Nothobranchius furzeri: one gene and its partner. The protein of the gene in region 2 purifies or fractionates together with the protein of the main gene of each other region. This does not show direct contact. Links are inferred from orthologs where the notes say so. Each region holds a gene or a part of one and is shown on either strand. Other genes may lie near its edges. The genes, in order: amot and wwc1.

The links.
Region 1: the proteins of wwc1 (region 2) and amot purify together in Homo sapiens (affinity purification with mass spectrometry; 3 studies listed by BioGRID and IntAct, with this or other methods). This does not show direct contact. The link is inferred for Nothobranchius furzeri from reciprocal best matches to the Homo sapiens genes WWC1 and AMOT.

Annotation. Positions count from the first base shown.
Region 1 is NC_091750.1:44,149,204-44,159,566, forward strand, and holds the end of amot (angiomotin), read right to left. Parts: intron 8,917-10,363; coding exon 8,788-8,916; intron 8,304-8,787; coding exon 8,065-8,303; intron 7,719-8,064; coding exon 7,437-7,718; intron 5,874-7,436; coding exon 5,740-5,873; 3' UTR 3,908-5,739; downstream 1-3,907. Other genes in the region: smfn (small fragment nuclease), read left to right, coding at 1,048-1,168.
Region 2 is NC_091750.1:71,326,298-71,337,049, reverse strand, and holds part of wwc1 (protein KIBRA), read right to left. Parts: coding exon 10,687-10,752; intron 10,002-10,686; coding exon 9,756-10,001; intron 8,718-9,755; coding exon 8,628-8,717; intron 7,762-8,627; coding exon 7,154-7,761; intron 5,871-7,153; coding exon 5,765-5,870; intron 5,534-5,764; coding exon 5,363-5,533; intron 3,132-5,362; coding exon 2,939-3,131; intron 2,871-2,938; coding exon 2,730-2,870; intron 2,507-2,729; coding exon 2,463-2,506; intron 2,350-2,462; coding exon 2,181-2,349; intron 2,093-2,180; coding exon 1,922-2,092; intron 1,837-1,921; coding exon 1,744-1,836; intron 1-1,743. UniProt on the Homo sapiens protein: Regulator of the Hippo signaling pathway, also known as the Salvador-Warts-Hippo (SWH) pathway.

The DNA of each region.
Region 1 (10,363 bases), about 27 Mb from region 2:
GAACAAGGTTTGTAACAAAGTTTGTCCTGTAGAAATGCACTTTGCTAAGTTTTTTTTACCCGCTAGAGGGTGCTAACGTATCTTGTCATGTCTAGGCAGCGATGCAACGATTTCACTGTTCTATGCCAGTGGTTCCTAACCTGGGGGTCCCGACCCCCACAAGGGGGCGCCAAAGCCTCTCAGTGGGTCGCCAGGACCTCTCCACTTTAAGGGGTTAAAACTTCATTTATTACTTGTTTATAGCCTACATTTTGCTCACATTTTTTTTTTTCATGAGTGAAAAGTTTACTGATATTAAGACAGGAAATAATTAGTACAGAAAGAGTAACACACTTTTAAGAACATTTTGCTCAGCTCACTGTTTTATTTTCAAGTGTCAAAAGTTCATTAAAGATAGGACTGGTTGATTAATCACAGCCTTTACAGTAAATAATCTAGTATAAACAGTAATATACACATTTAAGTACATTTTGCTCAGTGTATTTTTTATGTGTCAAACGTTTATTGAAAGGAATGATTGATTTATCAGTGTTTACAAGAAACAATGTGTTCAGAAAAGTAAAACAAACTGTCAAGCACATTATGCTCTGTTGGTTTTGTTAATGACTTTGTTCTGTACTGGAGCCTACTATTACTGTTTTCTATTGAATCAAAGCATATTAAAATGTGCTTGAACAATTTTATCATTTCTTAATAATGTTTGTACTGGAAGAGAGAATGGGAGGGGGTGGTCAAAAATTTTACTGGTAAAAAGGTTGGGAACCACTGTTCTATGCAATAATTGACAAGTTTCAGTGTTATTTGTTATGAAAGGTAAAGAGAATTAATTTGTGATGAATAAACAAGTCCAAGTGGTTAAAGGTAACACACTGTTTGATTTACTAATAGTCTTTTATTCTGTATGTGGTAGCTCTTACGGTGTGTTCACACGCACGGCTTTTTAATAAAAGGATTGTGAACCATCAGTTTGAGAGACCATCTCTTCAACCGGGGATGCTACAATTACAAATACTTGTATGTATTAATATAACCTTTTTCATGTTTCAGAGCCTTAGAGGACATCCATGAGAGTATAAAGGAGTTGCAGTACTACAGAGCCAACATCTTCAAATCCTCCTGGGCTGAAAAGTGTGAGATTATAGGAAATGGAGACAGCAATCAGAAGTAGCCCCCGTAGATGGGACCACCAGGAAATGCTTGAATTGAAGTTTAGTCAGTTCTAATGACTTGATTTTAGTTTCTTCATTTGTTTAAGTTCTCTGCAACCTTTCTTTTAGCATTGTTTCACCTATTTAGTACATTTCACTGCAGACAGCAGCAAAATGTGCAAAATATTCTAGAAACGGCTTTTTCAAAAGAAATAAAGTGAGCAACGTTTAAAAAGCATCAGATTGTTGTTTTCATGTCAGCACAGTGTGTGTGTGTGTGTGTGTGTGTGTGTGTGTGTGTGTGTGTGTGTGTGTGTGTGTGTGTGTGTGTGTGTGTGTGTGTGCGCGCGCGCATTTTTTTGCGCATCTGTAACTGAACAAACGTGCCTAAAGTCACTTGTGTATTGGCAACATAAGGTATAAATATAATAAAACGTCCCTAAACACTTGTCAGATGTGTGGTGCAGAGGATTGGTACTGGGTTCTAGTGCCAACTGTATTAAGTTCTTCTGGTCGTCCTAGCAACTGTGAGAGCTAGGGACCGATCCATAGATTACAGGCTTTCATCTCCCTTGTGGGAACACCTTTGTTTCTATTCTCAGTGGGCTTTTTTTCCTGTTTTTATCTCCGTGTAATTGTAATAAAAATCACACTTTTAACGAGTTTTCCAAAGCAATTCAGCAAAGATTGTAACACAACCCCTAAATGACCAGAAGATGTCCCAAAATAACATCACCAATGGCAGGCTTCAAGGTCAGGTGGGGGGCAACCATGTGCGGGTAGTGATGCATTTAGGAACACTGTTCCTGTACCTGAACGCTGACTGAACCTCGCATCTCAGGATTGTTTTAGCATTTTATTTTTGTAGTCGGAACTGAATTCAGGATTCTTTATTTTTATCATTTATGTATGGCCACATGTCCCCACCCTCTGCTGTTCAAAGTAGTCAGCCCAGCTTGTGGGCTCGAGTCGGGTTGAAATAGAGAACTCCAACACAACCCTAGAAAACTTCCTTTTGCGCCTGACAGTCCCTGATGACCTGTTGTGGATCAGAGAGGTCCTCCTCGAACTAGGATCCTTGGGCCACCAGAAGTACACGAGCCATAAACTGAAGGTCCTCACGTATTGGGCCTGAAGATGCATCCTCTGAAGAATGAATTAGCGCAGACACATTTTTAAGTCTGTTCACTTAATCAAGTAATGCAAAAGTAAAACCCACTGAAATACTAAAGTACCGTAATCTGGAGTCTAGTGTCGACATGCATGATGATGGACCAAAATGTGTCTTCAAGAGCAGCAAATGAAGGAATGAACCAGCTAAGTTAAGGAGGCGCCTCATCACAAAGCTAGTTTTATGTTTAAACTAAAGATTTTCCAGTGAAAAGACGAGGATTACACGGCCCAACAAAAATGGCGAACCAGGCCACAACATGGAAGGGATGATTTACCCATCGGTGGAGACAGATTTCAAACTGCTGTTGTCAATTAGTGTAGAATTTTTTGGAGCTGAAGGGTTTAGGCAGAATTTTGAGTCTAAGAAAATGCACCAAAATGATGACTACACAAGTCTACAACACTATAATACATTTATTTATACCAGTTATCAGCAAAAAAAGCTGATTTTGGTGTGACTTGCTCTTTAAAGGTTTATACTCCAGTAACGTGTGTTATGTGTTTTTACCCCTGTAAGGGGTCCCTGGTTCTCTAAAGTTTGAGAACCCCTGGTTTAGATGACACATGGAACGTGACCAGAACAACCGTGTTGTTACAGAGCAGCAAGACAAAAACACGGCTGAGAGGATGAAAAAGTGAAGTGTCCGACAGCAGGTGGCGTCTGAAACGGAGAATAAAAAATGTTTCTGGAGATTAAAATACCTCCAGAGACGGAGCCATTCTGGCGTGCAGAGGCAGAACGGTCCATCTCCAGATCTACGGAGATCCTTTAGAGTTGGTAAAACATCTGATCTACTGTAGTAGGGTCAAAGGTCATTCTGCTGCGTCAGCAGATAAACAGAAACTCACCCATTATTTAAGAGGTTCCTTGAGAACATGCTGGATCATCATTGTGATGCAGCTCAGAAAGATTAACAGGAACACAACTGTCCAGAGTTTAAAAATAAAAGATGAACTCTTTATTGTACTGGTGTGTAATGACTGGACCAGTGCTTCTATCCTAAAGAGACAGGAAAGCAGCGATGGTCGTCCCTTTAGCATTTAATCCCTGATCAGCTGTTATTTAATTTAATTAGGAAATGTTCCTACGAGAACTCGGATTCCATCAGCTGGACGTTTGGTTTGCTGCAGCAGATCAAAGCTTTAGGCCAGCGGTCACCAACCTTTGTATAGCTGAGAGCCACTTCCTGGGTACTGAGCTATACGAAGGGCCACCAGGTTGGTACAACACTGGCCTTTGAACTGGAATGGATCAGCATTAAACCGAACCCTTGTGTATAATAAACATAATTTGTTTTTAAAGAATATTGTAGTTTTTAGATCTATATTAATGCATTTGTGATTAAAAACATCTCAGCAAACTTCAGATACGTTTTATTGTATAGTGGTGTTGGTGACCTCCGCTTTGACCCTCGTCTACTCTGGTGTAGCCCTTCGACACGTCGTTTAGCCAACATGTTTGTTACGTTGGCTTTCCGCAGAATGTGCTTCGTCTGGAGACATATGTCTGGGTCAGACCTCTGAGAGCAGACAGAAACGTTTCACATAATGTTAAACTTTATTGATCACATTAAAAAACAACCGAGTTGATTCAAAGTGCTATTTTATTTAAGGCATTAAGAATGTAACAGGAAGTACACATACATTATTGTAAACGAATAAAACCATAACAGGGTTTGGTTATGCGCTAACAAAGGGTCACTCTACCGCTGATGGAGCTCTGGACATCACATGATCATCATGTGTTCATCTCCAGAGCAGTCACATGTACAGATGGAGAACTTCATTTTTATGTGTTTTGCTTTGCTCCACCTGCTGGACCAGCTACTGTAGTGCAAGTTTGCTTTTCGGTTATTGGTTTATTTTAACTTCGGTGTACTACACCTACATTTCTTTGCTCCGATAACCGAGTTTAGGCGTGTAGCTACACTTCCTGCCTGGCCTTCCTTCTCCCTGTGGAGATTTTAGGGGTAAATCCTCTAAACTGTTTAGTAAGAGCTGTGCTGGGTTTGTGGCTGATTGTGCAGCGATAATAAAAAGTAAATCCAACAACAATGAAAAACATACATTAGCTACATTATTGTGTACTGCAGCCGCTAAAAGGATAATGTCTTTTATACAGGTGTAAGGTGAAGAATGGCTTTCCGTCCACTTTTCTAATTTAAATGGAGCTGAAAAAACTGAAATGATCTCAAGACAGTAAACAGAAAGTGTAATTTGCATAAATAGGCTGAAGCCCAGGTCTCAGAGTCATCCTGTCCAACCTGACGGTCTACTAGCTCCAACGCTGAGGCGTACTCAGCCCTGCATGCTCCAGGTCTGCAGAGGTTTAGGCTTCACAAACGTGGATTTCTGGATTGATGAAAACATTTCTGCTCGCTGTCCTCTCACACACACGCACCCAGACTAACAACACTGTCACCAAACTGAGGCTTTTGTTCTCTGATCAAATCAAACGGTTTTTCCGTTACACTGAGTGTGTTGATAAACAATCTGATTAAATTACACATGAGCTAAGAGAATAAACAGATGTTAGTGAGTTAGCAAAGAGCAGATTAATAAAACTCCAGCATGAAGGTGGCAGGTGACACACATTCCTCCACGTTACAGATTGTTTACCAAAGCCACATGATTTGGAGAAGCAGTTGGATTCAGACGCTGAAGGAAGTTTCTGCAAAGTAACATTGCTGCTGCTGGGTTAGGGTTACTGTGTGGCAGACGGAAGGGTATGGAGGTCTGCAGTATTTCCAGAGGTTAGATGGAGCACAAAGACATGACCAAAGTCAGGTTTAGTATCCGTTTCCCAAACTCCAGCTCTAATGAACACCATATCAACCCAACAGAAGGAGGTTAATGTAGCTGCAATGATTAGATGATTAAGATTTCTGCTATCACGGCGGTACACAGGGCTGATGAGCATGCAGAGTTTCAGAGTCCTGCAAGTACCAAGAATTTCACATAAACAGTACCCGCTGTCAGGTTTACGTAGGAAAAAAAGAGGTACACAGAAGCTGTAAACATTTACCCTTTAAGCTTCAGAGTGGAAAGACGTCTGGTGCCTGGTCTGTGCTCAGGATCTGTAGGAATCATTGTGGGGACCCTACCCCGGTACCATTGATCTAGTTTTGTTGAAGCACTAAAGGAAAAAGCATCTAAAAAGCCAATAAATAAGAAGTTATGACCTGTATTATTTCATTATTGCAAACTACAAAACTGAGATGAAACAGGACTGTGGTGGTTGCGTTTTTGTCCCCGATCAGGGTGCAAATGTTAAATAAATGCAGCAAAAACAACTAAACCAGAGGAGTCTCGCCGGGCGGATCGGTGTCTAAGACGTGGAGGATAAAGACAAATCAGAACCACGTTGATTTGGAATGAAGCTGCCATCTGATCACTTATTGCTGTTTTCTTCTTGAGTTCAGATGAGGATCTCCACCACGTCTGAGTCCACCTCCTGTTGTGGTGGTGGAGCTGAAGCAGGAGCTGGCGGCAGCACCAGGGCCTGGACAGGAAACCTTCTCTCCAGCGTGCTGCTGTGAAAAGCAGGTACATCTACACAAACAAATAAACATCCTAAATGTAAAGTTCTAATAACAGCATCAAACACAAAACTCCATCCAGTAGGCCAGGGAGTAAATAAAACACACAGCCCAACAGTGGGCTGGTATCTAGGCCTCAAGTCTCCAACATCTGATCAGTAAAACGTGTCGCTAACTCCAGAAGAGTTTCGATGGTAGAAATGGTTGGATTTTAACCTCAGGAGTGCTAAAAAACTCAGCCAGAATGTGACAGTCCACCGATTGCTTGTTGAACATCCGCCAGTACCGGAGTGGGGTTTCAGACGGATTACTTCTTTAAACAGACGATATTTAAATGTTAAGACCACCTGATGGAGAAGCCAGAGTAGTGAGTACAACCAAAATGCTAACCACTAGCTGAATGGTTATAAAGTTTGGTTGGAACAATAAGTCAGTCTGGGAATCGGTCTTCTCTCTATACAAGTAGTGTGTGTGTGTGTTTGTTTGCACATGTGTGTAATGGCGTTTACACATTAGCGTCAGCTCGATCCCGGAATTTGGTTTCACACACAGGTCAGATTTGTCTTTTTGGTTCCGAGGCCTTTTTTCAGACCTCCTCCTGATGACTCGGACTCGAGGACAAAAAAACCCGATCGGGACATCCCTACTGAGAACCACACCTCCATGCTGCAGCAGCGTTCAGTCAGAACAGGAAGTGAAACTTAAACGTAGCTGCTGTCAGTAACAATCTAACAGATTTTAAACATTAAAACTCAACAGAAACAGTTCAGAAAGGAAATTTCACAACTTTGTGTGTGATTTATTATTATTATTATTATTATTATTTATTGTGGCAGAAGCTGGTGTGGTCCACCACAGAGAAGCTGCTCTAGCATGATGACCTTAATTATTCTACAGGTTATTGTTCAGCCTTCTGATGCTCACACACACACACGCACACGCACACGCACACGCACGCACACACGCACACACACACACACACACGCACGCTGACGCTCCGTGTGTATTTTTATTTCTGCCGTGAGACAAACTCACCTCACACCATCCAGAGTTTGTTCTTTAAAGCTTCTATTAAATCCACCGTGTTGATGTATTTTAACACGTTTCCTCTACGCTGCAGGAGTTAAAGTTTACATCACGGAGTAAAAGTTCGGCAGACGCATTTGTTTATATCTGGGTTGGAGGGAGGGGGGGACTCGGTGCTGCACACAGACAGCTGGTGTGATCAGCTCTGAAAAGTGTTGATCACAATTTGCAGATCACGTTTATTTTTCACTGAAATCGGCCGCGGATTCCTCTTCCGTCGGCATTCTAGGAATCAAAACTAGGAATCGAAATAAAACTTTGAACGATTCCAGGAAAAACTAACTGTTGGTCCCGGTTCAAATCGATGCTCGGTGCCCAACCCTGTTTAGTAAAGTATGTTTTGTTTTAGTAAAGTGATTTTAGGAAAAGTTCATTTTAGAAGTTTTGTTTAGAAATTTTTACTTTAGTAAAGTGCGTTTTGTTTTTAGTAAAGCGAATTTGGTAAAGTTTGCTTTGTAAGGTGAGAGTAAAGTGGCTTGGCATTCTTCACCTTGTAGCATCCTGTGTAATTCCGATGGAGTGAGCTGACCTGCTAAGCGATCAGGGATGTAAACCGGGCTGGGGCTGGACAGGCGGGCTGGCAGCGTCATACTCTGCAGGACTGGAGTGTTGGGCTTGCTGGTGTCCTGGCATTGACCCTTGTCGGTCTGTGTGCAGCTATCCCTACTGCCAGTCTTAGAGTGGCCTGTGATCATCGAGGTGGAAGACAGTATGGGAGAAGGGGAAGATGAGATCGACTCTGTCCTCAGAGACTCTGGACCCAAAAGAACCCCTGGAAAACCAAGAAAACAAGATCTCATCAAAAAGCAAGGACATCTTCTGCTTCATGTATTTAGGCACTTCTAAAAATGCTCATCTTTCTTATTTTTGCAACAATTGTGATTTTTATGAAACACTGTACTCCTTCATGAAGTTAGGATATTGATGACAAAGGAGTTCCAGTGTTTAGTTTGGGAATGATTTGTTTGAAAGTAGGTAAAAACAGAAGCACAGAATGTCTGTAGTGGTACTCTATGACAACAGAGTACTTTGTTCTGGGTTTGTTTACGTTTCTGACGTCTGATTTACAAAGAAGTTAATCCTCAGCACAAAAAGAAAAAAAACAGACAGGTCTGTACCCAGACTGCCCTTCCAGCTTGTGTCTTTGCGTTCTTCAGTGATCGGGGAGCTGCTGAGTCCAAGGCTGTGAGACAGTAACCCTGACCCACCAGAGCCAGTGTTAGAGATGGACATCAGAGACTTAGATGGTCTCATTGCAGATGGTGCATCTGACTTGGTGGGCTCTTTTCTGGAGCGCTGGTGGAGAACTTTGATCATGGCGTCCTTCTCAATGATCTGTGCATGGAGATTCTTTATCCTGGAGGATATAAGAACAGAATACAGCTTTAGCTCCCTTAATCGAGAGAAATTGAGTGTGCAAGTCAGCACTAATCCCACCTGCTTCTTTAATTAACAGGTTCAGCAATAGGCAACAACCTTAACCCCGACCCAAGGTAACAGGAACCTTTACAGCTATACAGTGACACCATGTGACCCTTCTCTCTGCATTTCCATCAGAGAGGAGAGGTTTCTCTGCTGCGGTTAACAGTTTCCAGACAATGCTCTCAGCTGGTTAACACTGGTAATGTAACCATGAGTCCGAGTTAGGAAAACTTCTGTGGTTCTGGTGGTCCATCCATCAGTAGTCTGAGCTATGTGGTGTTTCACAAAAGTCTTTGACTCATCACTCCTGCAGTTAAAGTTCAGGAGCGACGACGCCTCAGCGGTCAGGGTGAGGGGAGCCTGCACGTCATGTACATGTGAATGAAGACAGAAGTGCACACAGTGAATGTGGCTCTAACCTGCTCTCCATGTCCAGGCAGCGACGATTAGCCATGAGGATCTCCTCTTCCTCCTTCTGGATGCGAGCTTCCAGCGACGTGTCGTAGCTGCTGCTTGGTGAGTGGTTTATTCCTGCTGCAGAAGCATCCCTGCACAACAAAGGTCAAAGTTCACGTCAACAGAACGGCGGCTTCCAGTCATCAGGTGAGTTTTACCATGTCTCTCACTCTAGTCCATATACATAGACCAGGAGTCTCCTGCCTTGTTGTACCTTTGAAAATAGTCTTTGCACATGGGACATGGGGACTGTGTCCACATGTACACCAATGAGGATAATGTGCATTTCAGTCTGTGGAGGAAATGTGTGGAACAGGGCTGATGAGGAATTAAAAAGCTGTGTAATTATAAATCAACTAAAATATTTTATTAAAAGAATCATTAATGCAGGAGTACATGTGATGGGCCGTATTTCTGCATGATCTGGTGAGCGAGTTAGTGTTATGTGTGACATGGAGGACACCTTAAGTATACAAATATTTATATGGGTGTTTTTATTGGATGAGGCATCTGGGGGGTAGGATTTAATGAGCACATCATAATTTTCCTGTCATTTCCTGATTAGATCTGTTATTAATTATTTAATAATAATAATAAAATAATAAATAATATAATTAATATTTTTTATGTCTGAAATGAAGATGTCATTCATTCATTCACCAGCACAATTTACTCCTCAAAACATTCCGTTCAGGCACAAGAAGTGTAAATTATTACTTGTATTACATGTGGGGTTACCATGGTAATGTAACATTTTCATTGAGAACAACGTGAAATTCCTCCCGCCTTACACAGACTGTGCTGTTCCTATGACGCTGGTCAGAAGATTCGATTGATGTGGGACTACAACAACATACTCAGCAGCTTTTGGATATTATAATCGGTTTCAGTCTAGTGGGGATTTTTGGCTCATTTGAGATTTTGTAATGAGATGCGATCTTTCACCTGCTGTGGGCTAAATGGAAGCGTGCAGCCTAACACGTAGAGGATTCCTATTACAAAATCTCTAACTGACTACACTTACCACATGTTGGTAAGGTAACGAGTATGTTGGACATTAAATGACCCAAGTCCAGATGTTCCTGCGTGAGACGTATAGCTATGCAGACGACACCCAGCTCTATCGGTCATTTCCACCAGACGACCACACTGTCTCTGCACGAATATCAAACTGTCTCTCTGACATATCAAAATGGATGAAATCCCACCATCTTCAACTCAACCTCTCTAAAACTGAACTACTTGTCATCCCAGCGAAACCATCCATACAGCACAATATCTCAATCCAGAATGACTTCCTGTCTCTGGCTCCTTCAAATGCAGTTCGAAATCTGGGTGTTGTGATTGATGAACACCTGACCTTTAAAGATCATGTTGCCTCTGTTGCTCGTTCATGCCGCTTTGCGCTGTATAACATACGAAAGATCAGACCATACCTAACACAACATGCCACCCAGCTCCTGGTGCAATCTACTGTCATCTCCCGCCTCGACTACTGCAATGCCCTTCTAACTGGTCTTCCAGGCTGTACTGTGAGAC
Region 2 (10,752 bases):
CGGTCAGCAGCGTCTCAGAGGTGCTGAAATGTCAGCCCAGGCTCATCATTACCTCCGGTTGTTTGGAGATAATGACACAGAACCATTTTTAGGGCTGAGTTAAAAGAAGCGTGCTCGAATCAGAGCGGCATTAATCATTCGAAGAGTCGCTTCAGCGGGAGGCATTAAGTGGCTGTAAGAGTTTTATGACGGCACACGGGCTCTTCGTCTTCATCCCAGGAGAATGGAGAAGAGCCTTCAGTGGTCAGCGGGTCAGAGGGTTAAACATCGGTTTTAAAAGTCAGGAACCAAAGAAGCAGGAATAAACCACAAAACACTACTCCAGTCCACACACACACACACACACACACACACACACACACACACACACACACACTAGGGGCTGCATGACTTAATTTTTTTTTAAGTCGACAGTCAAGTAATGAAAATCGAGTCGACTTCGACTAGTCGTTGATGACGTCATACACCTGATGCGGCTAAATCTGACGATGGGTGACCAAGAGTTTTTTGTCCTACGCCGGGGGTGGGGTGTGTGTGTGTGTGGGGGGGGGTGGGGTGGGGTTGGGGTTGGTTCCCTGGAGATTTTGAGAATTAAAATTGCGCACCCATTTTTTAAGTTAAACACATCTCTCTTAACAACGGTAGCTTCTGCATCCTGCTTCAGGCCCACCCCCCCCCCCCACCCCCCCACCCCCCACCCACGCGTGCAGCGGCCGCAAACTCACTGATGCGCCTGCAGCCTCTCGGAGTTCCTGCTGCTCTAAACATTAAAATAATTATTTCATTTTCTGTTCCTCACTTCTGATTACCTTCAATGGTGTTTGTTTGTTGCAACCACCAGGTACAAAAACTAACTTGTTTTTATTTGACTATTTTTCTGTCCTGCCTGTTTATTATCTTCCTGCATCTCCTCTCAATCCTAAAGAAAAACTGCTACCTGGGTTCATATATATTCACCTTATGAGTTACCTTTCAACTGCAGTTCTAAAAGATCTGCCGACCGCAAAAACAGCGGAGTGCTCGCCGGCCGCATCAGTGATCAGTGTGTCACCGGAGGACAAAACAGGTGATGCGCCCCGATCCACAGCAGCGAAACGCATCAGGCACAAATAAAAGACTAAAAGACAGTAAACATAAAAGGAATTGAGCCGACATGAACGATCGCGTGTTAAATTAGTTTTTGAGGTGGCGACACCTGATTTGATAATGTTACTGTGGCCGTGCTCAGGATGCAGATGTCTGGAGCGCGTCAACAATCACAGCTTTGCATGTGCAAGCTGGTTAAGGTTAGGATGGGGGTGAGGGGAAGGTTAAATTGCAAGAGGGTAAATGTCACAATTTGGTTAGATGTCCGTTTTACGGCGGGCGTCAGTACCGACGCTCTGGCACAGCGCGTTGCCTCCGGATGCGCAGGAGCTTGTCACCTGCTGACTTTTCTGAGGACTGCATCTTGTCAGTCATCATCACGTGACAGCGACTAGTCGATGAAAGGCATAAAAAGCAGTGAAGTCGACTAGTCGATACAACCCCTAGTCCACACACACACTGGCCCAGAACCGCTTAAGTCGGTTAAAAAGATGCAGCTGCTCTCAGAAAAACAATAAAAACCTGCAGTAAACACCAAACACATCGTCACAAATGTTTACTGCATCTCATCCGCTCGGGGCTGACTCCAGAAAGGAGCAAGTTCCCACTGACTCCGATGTTAAAGACGCCTATCTCACAGCAGGAATAACTCTCTACCTTCTTCATGCGCATGCTTCGCCGTTCTGAGGCATTCCTGACAAACGGAGACCTCTTGGAGAGGGTGGAGCTGTCGCTGTCGCTGCGATTAATCTGCAAATCAAAACAGCTTTTAGAATAAAACCATCAGAAACATGAGAAGTTCCTCTTTCTGTTGCCATGGGAGCGGTTCTGGTACCCTGCAGATGTACTGGCTCTGAGGTCCAGGGGAAAAGGTCTTGGAGCGAATGATGGTGTTGCCCCTCATGAACGGGTTCTGCTGGTGGACGTCCGGGCGGCGCTCTTTGGGTCGAACCACGAAGCAGTGATGGGACGAGGATAATCCATCCGTACTGGTCTCCTTGTTCACCTGGACGGAGGAGACGATGAAGACTTTAGACCTACTGGCATCCGTAACTATCCGTCTTCATCCACAACCAGCAGAAACAAAGTTCTACCTTCTCTGTGATGGGTGCTGCAGCTGGAGGGGGTTTGGTCACCTCCTCCTCCTCCTCCGTCTCCCACTGGCTGCTCTCAGGGTAGAACTCATCTTCTTCCTCCTGAAGCTCCTCCCCATCTCCACCCTCATCTTCATCAAGTACATCTGCCTTCAGATGACCGCTGCACCTGAAGATTTAAAAGCCAAACCCCATTTATTTATCATCAGGTCAGAAGCTGTGAACCAGGGACGAGGCTTTCTACAGAAGGAGCAGCAGAACCAAAGAGGAGGTAAAACTCACCAATCATCACCAGCTCGGTCCTCCTCTCTGCTACCAACACCAGCCTGAAACAAAACATCTCGTCCATTACTCAGAACTCAGCAGCAAATCTACAATAAGGTGTTAAAGTGATGATCAGTCAGGTGACGTTTACCTACATTTAAGTGCGGATTGTTTTTTATTATTAAACTAACAAGAGCAACTTTAAAAATGGCGGGTTTTGTTGTTTAGCTGCTGAGTGTCCTTTCCAACCCAACCACCAGGTGTCAGTGTCCCCCCCACCGGTACCTGATCAGAGTCACCCGTTGCTCTGCTCCCTCTGTCCTTGTTGCTGATCTCAGGCATGTAGAGGCGACTCAGTAGGTTGTACCACTTGGTGCACCTGTCCTCCGAACAGCTGATGTCAGCCAGGCTGATCTGAGCCCCCGCCTGGAGGAAGAACAAATTTTATTACATCCGTCTAAACTCGTCACGTCTAACGGGATCATCACACTAACCAGACACTCCTCGAGGCCCGACGTGCTGCCGTCACAGACGTCAACCCTCAGCGTCTTCTGCCGCAACGCACCGTGGGAAATCTGCATGCCAAACACCTCGTTGATCTCCACGACTTCCTGAGGCAGCGAGCTGCGTGTTCGGAAGAGGCAACGCATGGCCTGGACGGAGGGCAGCACCGCCAGGCGGACGTACCTGCAGGACAAACATTAAACGTCCCGTTGCAGCTTGTTTGTTAGCTTCAGACCAGCCGGAGCGTTTGCTACGAAGCAAACAGCACAGAAACAAACTAAAGCAGATGTTTTAGCTCTAGCAGGTTCAGAAAAGGCTAGACGTCCTCTTTATGGAGAGTTTATTACAGGACAACATCTTGTGGGGATGTAAGGACATATCGATATGCTGAAGTATTGCGATATTTCATGTTCTGATACTGAATCAATATTTGAAAGCGGTGCATCGATTCTTTTACTGTGAATTTACATGCAAACATTTACTGTATTTATTTTGTGAGATGTAACTCAAACTCCAACAGCTAGGTGGCAGCAGTTTTTACCCATTTCTGTCAGAAGGAACCACGATAACACTGGGCGTGTCTGGAAGCGTCTGGGTCGAGTTCTTGATTAAATTCACTCTTAACTCATTCGCTGCCAGCATTTCTCACTGTTTTTACTGTTTTTTTAAGAGTCACTGAACGGTGCGCGCTAGGATGATGTCAACGCCAAAACAAAGCGGAGACTCACCTCTTACATCAGGAAGAATCCGCACGTTTCGAGCGTTATCCGTTCTTTCATAATCCGTTGTTGAATTGTGGTCGGCAGAAGCTTTTCCGGTTCGCGCCTCACTTTTTTTACAACAGTGGCCCAAAACGATCTCCTAACACATGGATGTTCTGCTTCCTGATCACGTGACGTGTGACGTATGCGGATGAAGATCAACTTTAGAGCTGAGATGTTTGTTCTCACGGTGCGGGGGCTCGTCCGACGCCCACACAGTAAAAAATGAACGAGTTAAGAACAGCAAATATGATGCTTGCTTTTAGTATTGCAATATATCATATCGTCTCCCCTGTACTGTGATTAACATCGTACGGCCAGATTCTCGCTAATACACACTCCTATTATCTCATAAATCCCTTCCCCCTGAAGGTCACAAGGGCCAGAGATGTTTGACGACACTCCTGAAGATGTACTGCTGTGAGACTGTTTGGCGATCAGATTCAAAGCTACATTAATGCTGAAATATTCTCGTTCCTCTAAATCATCATCGCATCAACAAACTACAGTTTGATGAGCTCGACACACGGGAGGCGACAAACAACCTCGATCAGCGAAATTCGTCGCTTTAATTACCTGACACACGGGAGGCGACCCGCGGCAGCGGCAAAGCCGTCGGCGCGTTCTGTTCCATGGCGAAATCGAATCATCCGTTGTTTTGATTGGCTGTGTCAGGTTGGAGGGAATTAAGGTTATTTAAGTGGTTCAGAGTTAAAAAAGTGGTAGATATGATGTGTCACAAGGTGCCGCTAGAGTTATGTGAAATCTTACTTCTGATTTTACAATATAAAAAAAACTTCGAGAATGGGTTCGTCCCATATTACAAACCAGAGAAAGAAACGGAGAATACCATCATTTAATGAGGGACCTCAAGTACGATCCCAATGTGTTCTTTCTGGCACCGACAATTTCCCTTTTGGGAACTTCTCTATATTCTTTGGTAGAAATATTGTACAGTTCTGGGAAATCCGTCACAGCAAGTATCAACTTCTCCTCCATGTTTGCTCGGAGGTGTACGGAGCATCCTGTCTGCTCATTGGTCAGTGAATGAAACCTCCGTTCATTGGTCCTCGTCTGAGCGACAGCAATGAAAAGTTGAAAATATTTCAAATTTCTGGGATTGCGTTGCTGGGTCGCCTGTGCACGACACGTGCACAAGCGCAAAAGTTCACATGCACGGTTTTCGCGTTTTGCTTAGTAGGAGGGAGACCCGCGATTATCGCTTTGTCGCGCACGTCTCATTGAAAATGGAGGAGAGGCGATGTCGCCTCCCGTGTGTCGAGCCCATAAAGCTCGGCACATTCCATCTTTACTCGTGAAACGGCTCAGATGATGAGCAGAACATCCTCAGGAAAATAAAGAAGCCAGGTTGCTTTTGAAGATTCCTGAGACCAAAACACATCTTCTAGAATTTCTAGAACACCACGTGAATTAGGGATGTAAGAAAATATCGATATGGCGATATATCGTGATATATTGTATCGTATCACCAGACTTTCACCAATACACACCCCTAATGGGAATGAGTTCATAAGATTAAAAACTTCACCTGGAACAACATTTACGTCACACGACGTTCTTTAACAAAACATCGCAGCAGATTATATCAAAGCTCTGATGACCAGAATCCAGTTAACAGAAGTAGGTTCCTACATTTTCTGGTCAGCTGGCAGGCAGAGGGCGCTGCAGTTGGACAGCTGCATAATATAGACGGTGAAACGCTGGTCTCTGGACTCGTAACGGAAGCCGAGCTGCACCTGAGAGCAGCCTGAGGTCAGCCGCTCCTCGTAGGAGCTCAGGAGGAGGTCTGCAGGAAGGCCCGGTCTGGAGGAGACAATAAAAACAAAAAGATTCACAGGTTGAACGTCAGGTTCTGACAGTGGAGGTCTGGGGTCAAACAATGACTGAGGAAGCTGCTGAAACCAGATTTCACTTCTATTTTCAAGCAATTATTGGTGTTAAAAACACAATAAAAACCTCATTAGAGCCTCAACATTAGAGCCGCTTTACAGAAGACAAACCAGAACCACTCTGTGGAGATCAAAGCAGACAGACCTGCGCTCTGACGGCTCGTAAACGCCGCTGTCGCCGGCCACCGACTCGTCAGAGACAGCGGAGGTCACGCCCATCTTCTTTGGCCCCACCCCTCGCGGCTGGGGAGCTGAAAGGAGGCAGAATAGGAGGAGGTGAAGACGTGGGAGTCGAGCGATCTCGTTGTCTCATATTATTGAACCTTCTTGTGCAAACTGCACAAATGCTAATTTAAAACATTTCAAATAAATATAAATTCAACCATTTCCAAGGACTTCAAGCAGAAATAAAAATGTTTTTCCTCATCCAGATGAAACAAACAAAGGTGTAGACGAGTCTGAAATCCTTTCATTATTTAATAAAAGTTGTTGGTTTTTGTTTGGTCGCTGTAAGAATGAACACATCACAGATCCGGATTAAACCTGAAAGCTGAGAGCGGCTCACCGACACCAAGCAGAGGAACAGAAGCCTGAAGCTGAGACGACGGAGAGGGAACGCTCTGAGAAAGTGCTGCATGTATAATTAGAACCTGGTACCGGGTCGGGTTCTGGCTGCAGGAAACCAGACACCGCCTACACCTTTCACCTGCAGATCCAACAGGAACCCGAGGACCGGTCCTCTCTTCAAAGCCCGACTCTCATGATCCCACAGATCATTCCCGGGTCTCCCAAACCCCAGTGGAAGGAGGATTCCTGGTGTTCCACATTCCTAGAGAACCCGCTCCTGATTCCTGATCCGAACCGTCTGTAAGGTTTTATAAATAAATAAAAGGTCGGTGGATTTAATCTCCGTCGTATAAATTATAATCTCCTGTGAACCCAGAGAAGCAAAAGGATCTGAGAACTCCATCACATCTCATCTTTAAACATTCCAGCCTTTTACGGTGGTTTTGTCTGTCATTACTTTCCTGAATTTACTTTTTCTGTTTTTTTTTGTTTGTTTTTTTAAATCAAAGATTGGATCTGGTATCTGACCCAGAAGGTTGATGCGTGCGGCTAACTGTAGCCAAAAGAGTTCAATGGGCAGAGGGGTGACATGCTCTTTTAGGCTGGCCAGACGCGCCGCTGCGTTCTGGACCATTTGAAGAGGTCTCAGTCCAGGCTGGAAGACCCGTTAGAAGGGCGTTGCAGTAGTCGAGGCGGGAGGTGACTGTAGACTGCACCAGGAGCTGGGTGGCATGTTGTCAGGTACGGTCAGATCTTTCGTGTGTTCAACAGCGTGAAGCGGCACGAACGAGCGACAGCGGCAACGCGATCTTTAAAGAATTTATGAAAACCACGTTCTAATTTAGGGGATCAGCAGGTTGTTGTGGGCCGAACTCTGATCAAAGGTACAAAACTACGTTTTAAACTCAGCAGCACTGGAGATCACAGCTCCGAGGATGCCATCTGGACCCGGTTCTGCTGAACTCACCTCTTCCCTCCTCTCCCAGCATGTTGTTGTGGTTCCGGTTCTCCTCCAGCTCCCTGTGCTCCTCTCTCCGCTGCTCCTCAGAGTTCAGCTCCAGCTCTGTCAGCCTGCTGCGGAGCTCCAGATCCAGACCCAAACTGCCGGGCTCTGTCTGGCCCAAAAACGTGTCCCCCGACGGGAAGCTAGTGTCCAAAACCAGCGGCGAGCAAGGTGGGGACAAGGAGGACAAGGACGATCGGGGGGACAACGAGCTCATGGAGCGAGGAGTCTCTGACGGTCTGAGCGCCTGGATCCTGGAGGACTCCGCTCCGACACCAGAACCCCCAGCATCCCCCCCCTGCCTCCCGCTGCAGCCCGTCTCCACTTCGTGCTCGTGAATGGTGGTGATGGAGCTGGATGGCCGGTAACCTCCCTGACCGCCGTCCTGCAGGAGGCCTTCCAGCTTGCTCCGCAGGTCTGGGTCGGCCAGCTCAGGCTGCTCCAGGTAGATGTCGGTGAAGCTGAGGGAGGAGGTGGAGCCCATGCTGGAGGTGGTGGCCAGCGAACAGCGGCTGGAGGTCAGCGATCCACGACTGCTGCCGGACGAACAGGAGAGCGTGCTGGCGGAAAGGCTGGAGACAGGAAATAGATCTCGTCAGGGAATTTTACAGATTTACAAACAAGGAACAACTTCCTATCGAACCAGTCGTCCGTCGTTTCCTGATCCGCCTCTGCTCCGAGGAACAGGATCGATGAGCTAACAGCTAGTCTGGGAGCAGCCAAAACCTGTCCGATCCCCGAGCTCATGTCAGGTCATGTGACGTTCCCTCGCAAACATTTACGACATCATCCGTTTGACATTACGGGGATTTTCAGGAGGAATTCTGTGGTTCCTCACAAGCGTGAATATCACCGGCAACCTTCTGTAGCATTCCGGTGCATCCAGGGATGGAGTCCAGCAGGACGCTCTTAATGTCTCTGACATCACAACCAACACAGGAAGTGCTGGAGAACAGACTAGCCGTTAGCACATCAGTCCTGAAGGATTTAAACTCCATTTATCTGAACAGAGGCTGTTCACCGAGCCATCGACAACTTTTACACAAAAACACGCCTCCGTTATTCAGATACTAAAGATAAAAGCGGTGGTTTAACAGTTAAAGCTTTATCTGAGCAAGCATCCAGTAAATGATGCTTTTTATCTACTTGTGTTTATTTTTTCATCCATTTCATTTATGGAACTAGTCAAGAAACTACAGTCTCAGAACCACATCAGTACGTCACAAATCCCACGAGCAATCCAGGCTTTTTACTTCCTCAGAAAACGTCTGAGCCGAACGAACCCAGAGCAGCAGCAGGCGTCAGAACCTCCTCACAAACACAACCCAATCTTTCCGACTGACTGATGCTCGTGCTGCTAAAAGTCCAACTTCCTGCACTACGCTTTAGAAGCTGCTGTTGTTTGACTCCATCTTTCCTGGTGGAGACGAGTACGGACCTCTTGAGCTGCGTATGCAGCGTCGTGGCCAGGCGGACCGTCTCCTCCAGCTCTCTCACCAGCTTGTTCCTCTTACAGTGAAGCCGCAGCCTGAAATCACAGAAGGGAGCGGAGTTTAATAAAATAACCAGAAAACTAGAGGCAGACCGATATATACAAGTTTTTCTATATTGGCCAAAGTCAGCAACGACGGATTAAAGGAGACGTGGACAGAGATGGAGGAGAGTGGATCACATATGGGACATGGTCATCGACAAACAGGAAGTGGAAAGTAGAGGGCGACTGCCCATTGATGAAACAGCAAGGAAGTGACATCACCACCACTCCGAGGAAGGCGCCAGTGAGAGCCGAAACTGTCAGTAAAAAGTAAAACTACAAAGTTTGCTAGTCTGTGAATTATTAAGAACACAAAAACAAAACAACATAACAAAGAAACTCAAAGGGACGGAAGAAAACGGCCAGCTGGTTTAGAGATTTGACCCAAAACAAGGAAGAATCCATCGTTTATCAACCCGACATGAATAATTAGCTTCAATGTTTTCTAAAAGCAGCAGAACAAACCTGGACGGTGCGAAATTATCAAAGACGAACTGTTAGTTTCTGTTGTGTGTGTGTGTGTGTGGGGGGGGGGGGGCTAACTGCGTCTGGTTTCTCGTCTTCTCTGAAACTCGGTAAAAGAAAAGAATGTTGCATTTCCAGAGCTGCAGACTCAGTGTGTGTGTGTGTGTGTGTGTGTGTGTGTGTGTGTGTGTGTGTGTGTGTGTGTGTGTGTGTGTGTGTGTGTGTGTGTGTGTGTGTGTGTGTGCGCTACAAGAGGTCCTTGTGTCGAGGCTTAGCGGCATCTCGGGTTTCAGGAACAGGAGACGAGACACAAAGAGAGACGGGGCTCAGGTAAAGTCTGACCTGGAGCTCGAACAACAACGGTCCTGTTAGAGGGGTGTGTGTGAGTGTGTGTGTGTGTGTGTGTGGACAGGGAGACCTGATGGAGGAAAACGAGACAGGAGTATCCAAGGGTCAGAGGTCTCACCAGCTGATCTGATCCGAGTTATTCATCTCACAGCTCTCTGATCCCCCTGCAGCTAAACCCATAAAAACCTTTCTGTAGACAAAAGCTCCGATCTGAAGCACCTCTCGGTCAGAGCTTTGCTCTGGTTGTCTCTGGCCGCCTGCAGGTCTCTCTCCAGACGTTTCTTCTCCGTCTCCAGCTTCTCGGCGTCGTTGGGCTCCAGGCGCTTCCGGGGGCTGACGTACTGCAGCTCCTTCAGCAGCTCCTCCTTCTCGTTGATGAGGATGAGTCGGTCCCGCTCCGGGTCCAGCAGCCCCGGCCACGCCTCGCTGTCCAGTCTGGCGATCTGAACTTCAATGTTGGCGATCCTGGAAGGAGAAGGTGAGGACGCTATGGTTAAAGCTGAGCACCCTGGTTTATAGCTGGCTCCACAGCAGAAGGGAAGACCAAACGGATCAACTTCAGATCAAACATTTAAGAAAACGGGTCCTGTGAAGGCAGAAAAGATTATTTTATGTGAAAGTTCCAGAGGATCTAAATATTCCAGCCTCACATCTTCCACCAGTCCAGCATGGGATCAAACTATTGAGTCTGAAACATCAGGGTTCTGGATGGACCCGGGTCACTTTAGCTCCATTCTCCAAGCAGATTCTTGGACGAACTTTCCACGGTCCAGTATCCGAGGAACTGCCCGATATCTGCGGGACTCGTTGCCGGTTTCAGATCCATCTTGTGCTTCATAGACTTCCCCACTTAGGACTTCCCGCTCACTATAAATGATACATGGCTTGTATTCACGTAGCGCCTTCTAGGGTTCTACAACCCCCCAAGGTGCTTTGCAACACATCCACACGCTGGTGATGATGAGCTACAGCGTAGCCACAGCTGCTCTGGCAGCAGCTGGATCACGGTCCAGACTTCCCACTTACAGACAGGAAGCTGAGGCTTTCAGAACATCTGAAGCAGTTCTACTGGTACACACACGTTTATCTAAACAAACCAACGACGTCCCAGCTAAATCAGGATCTCCTGACTGAGTTAAAGTGTTGTTACCTCCTCTTGGCCTCCTCGTACTTCAGACTCAGGCGAACCTTCTCAGCCAGTTTGTTGGTGCTGGTC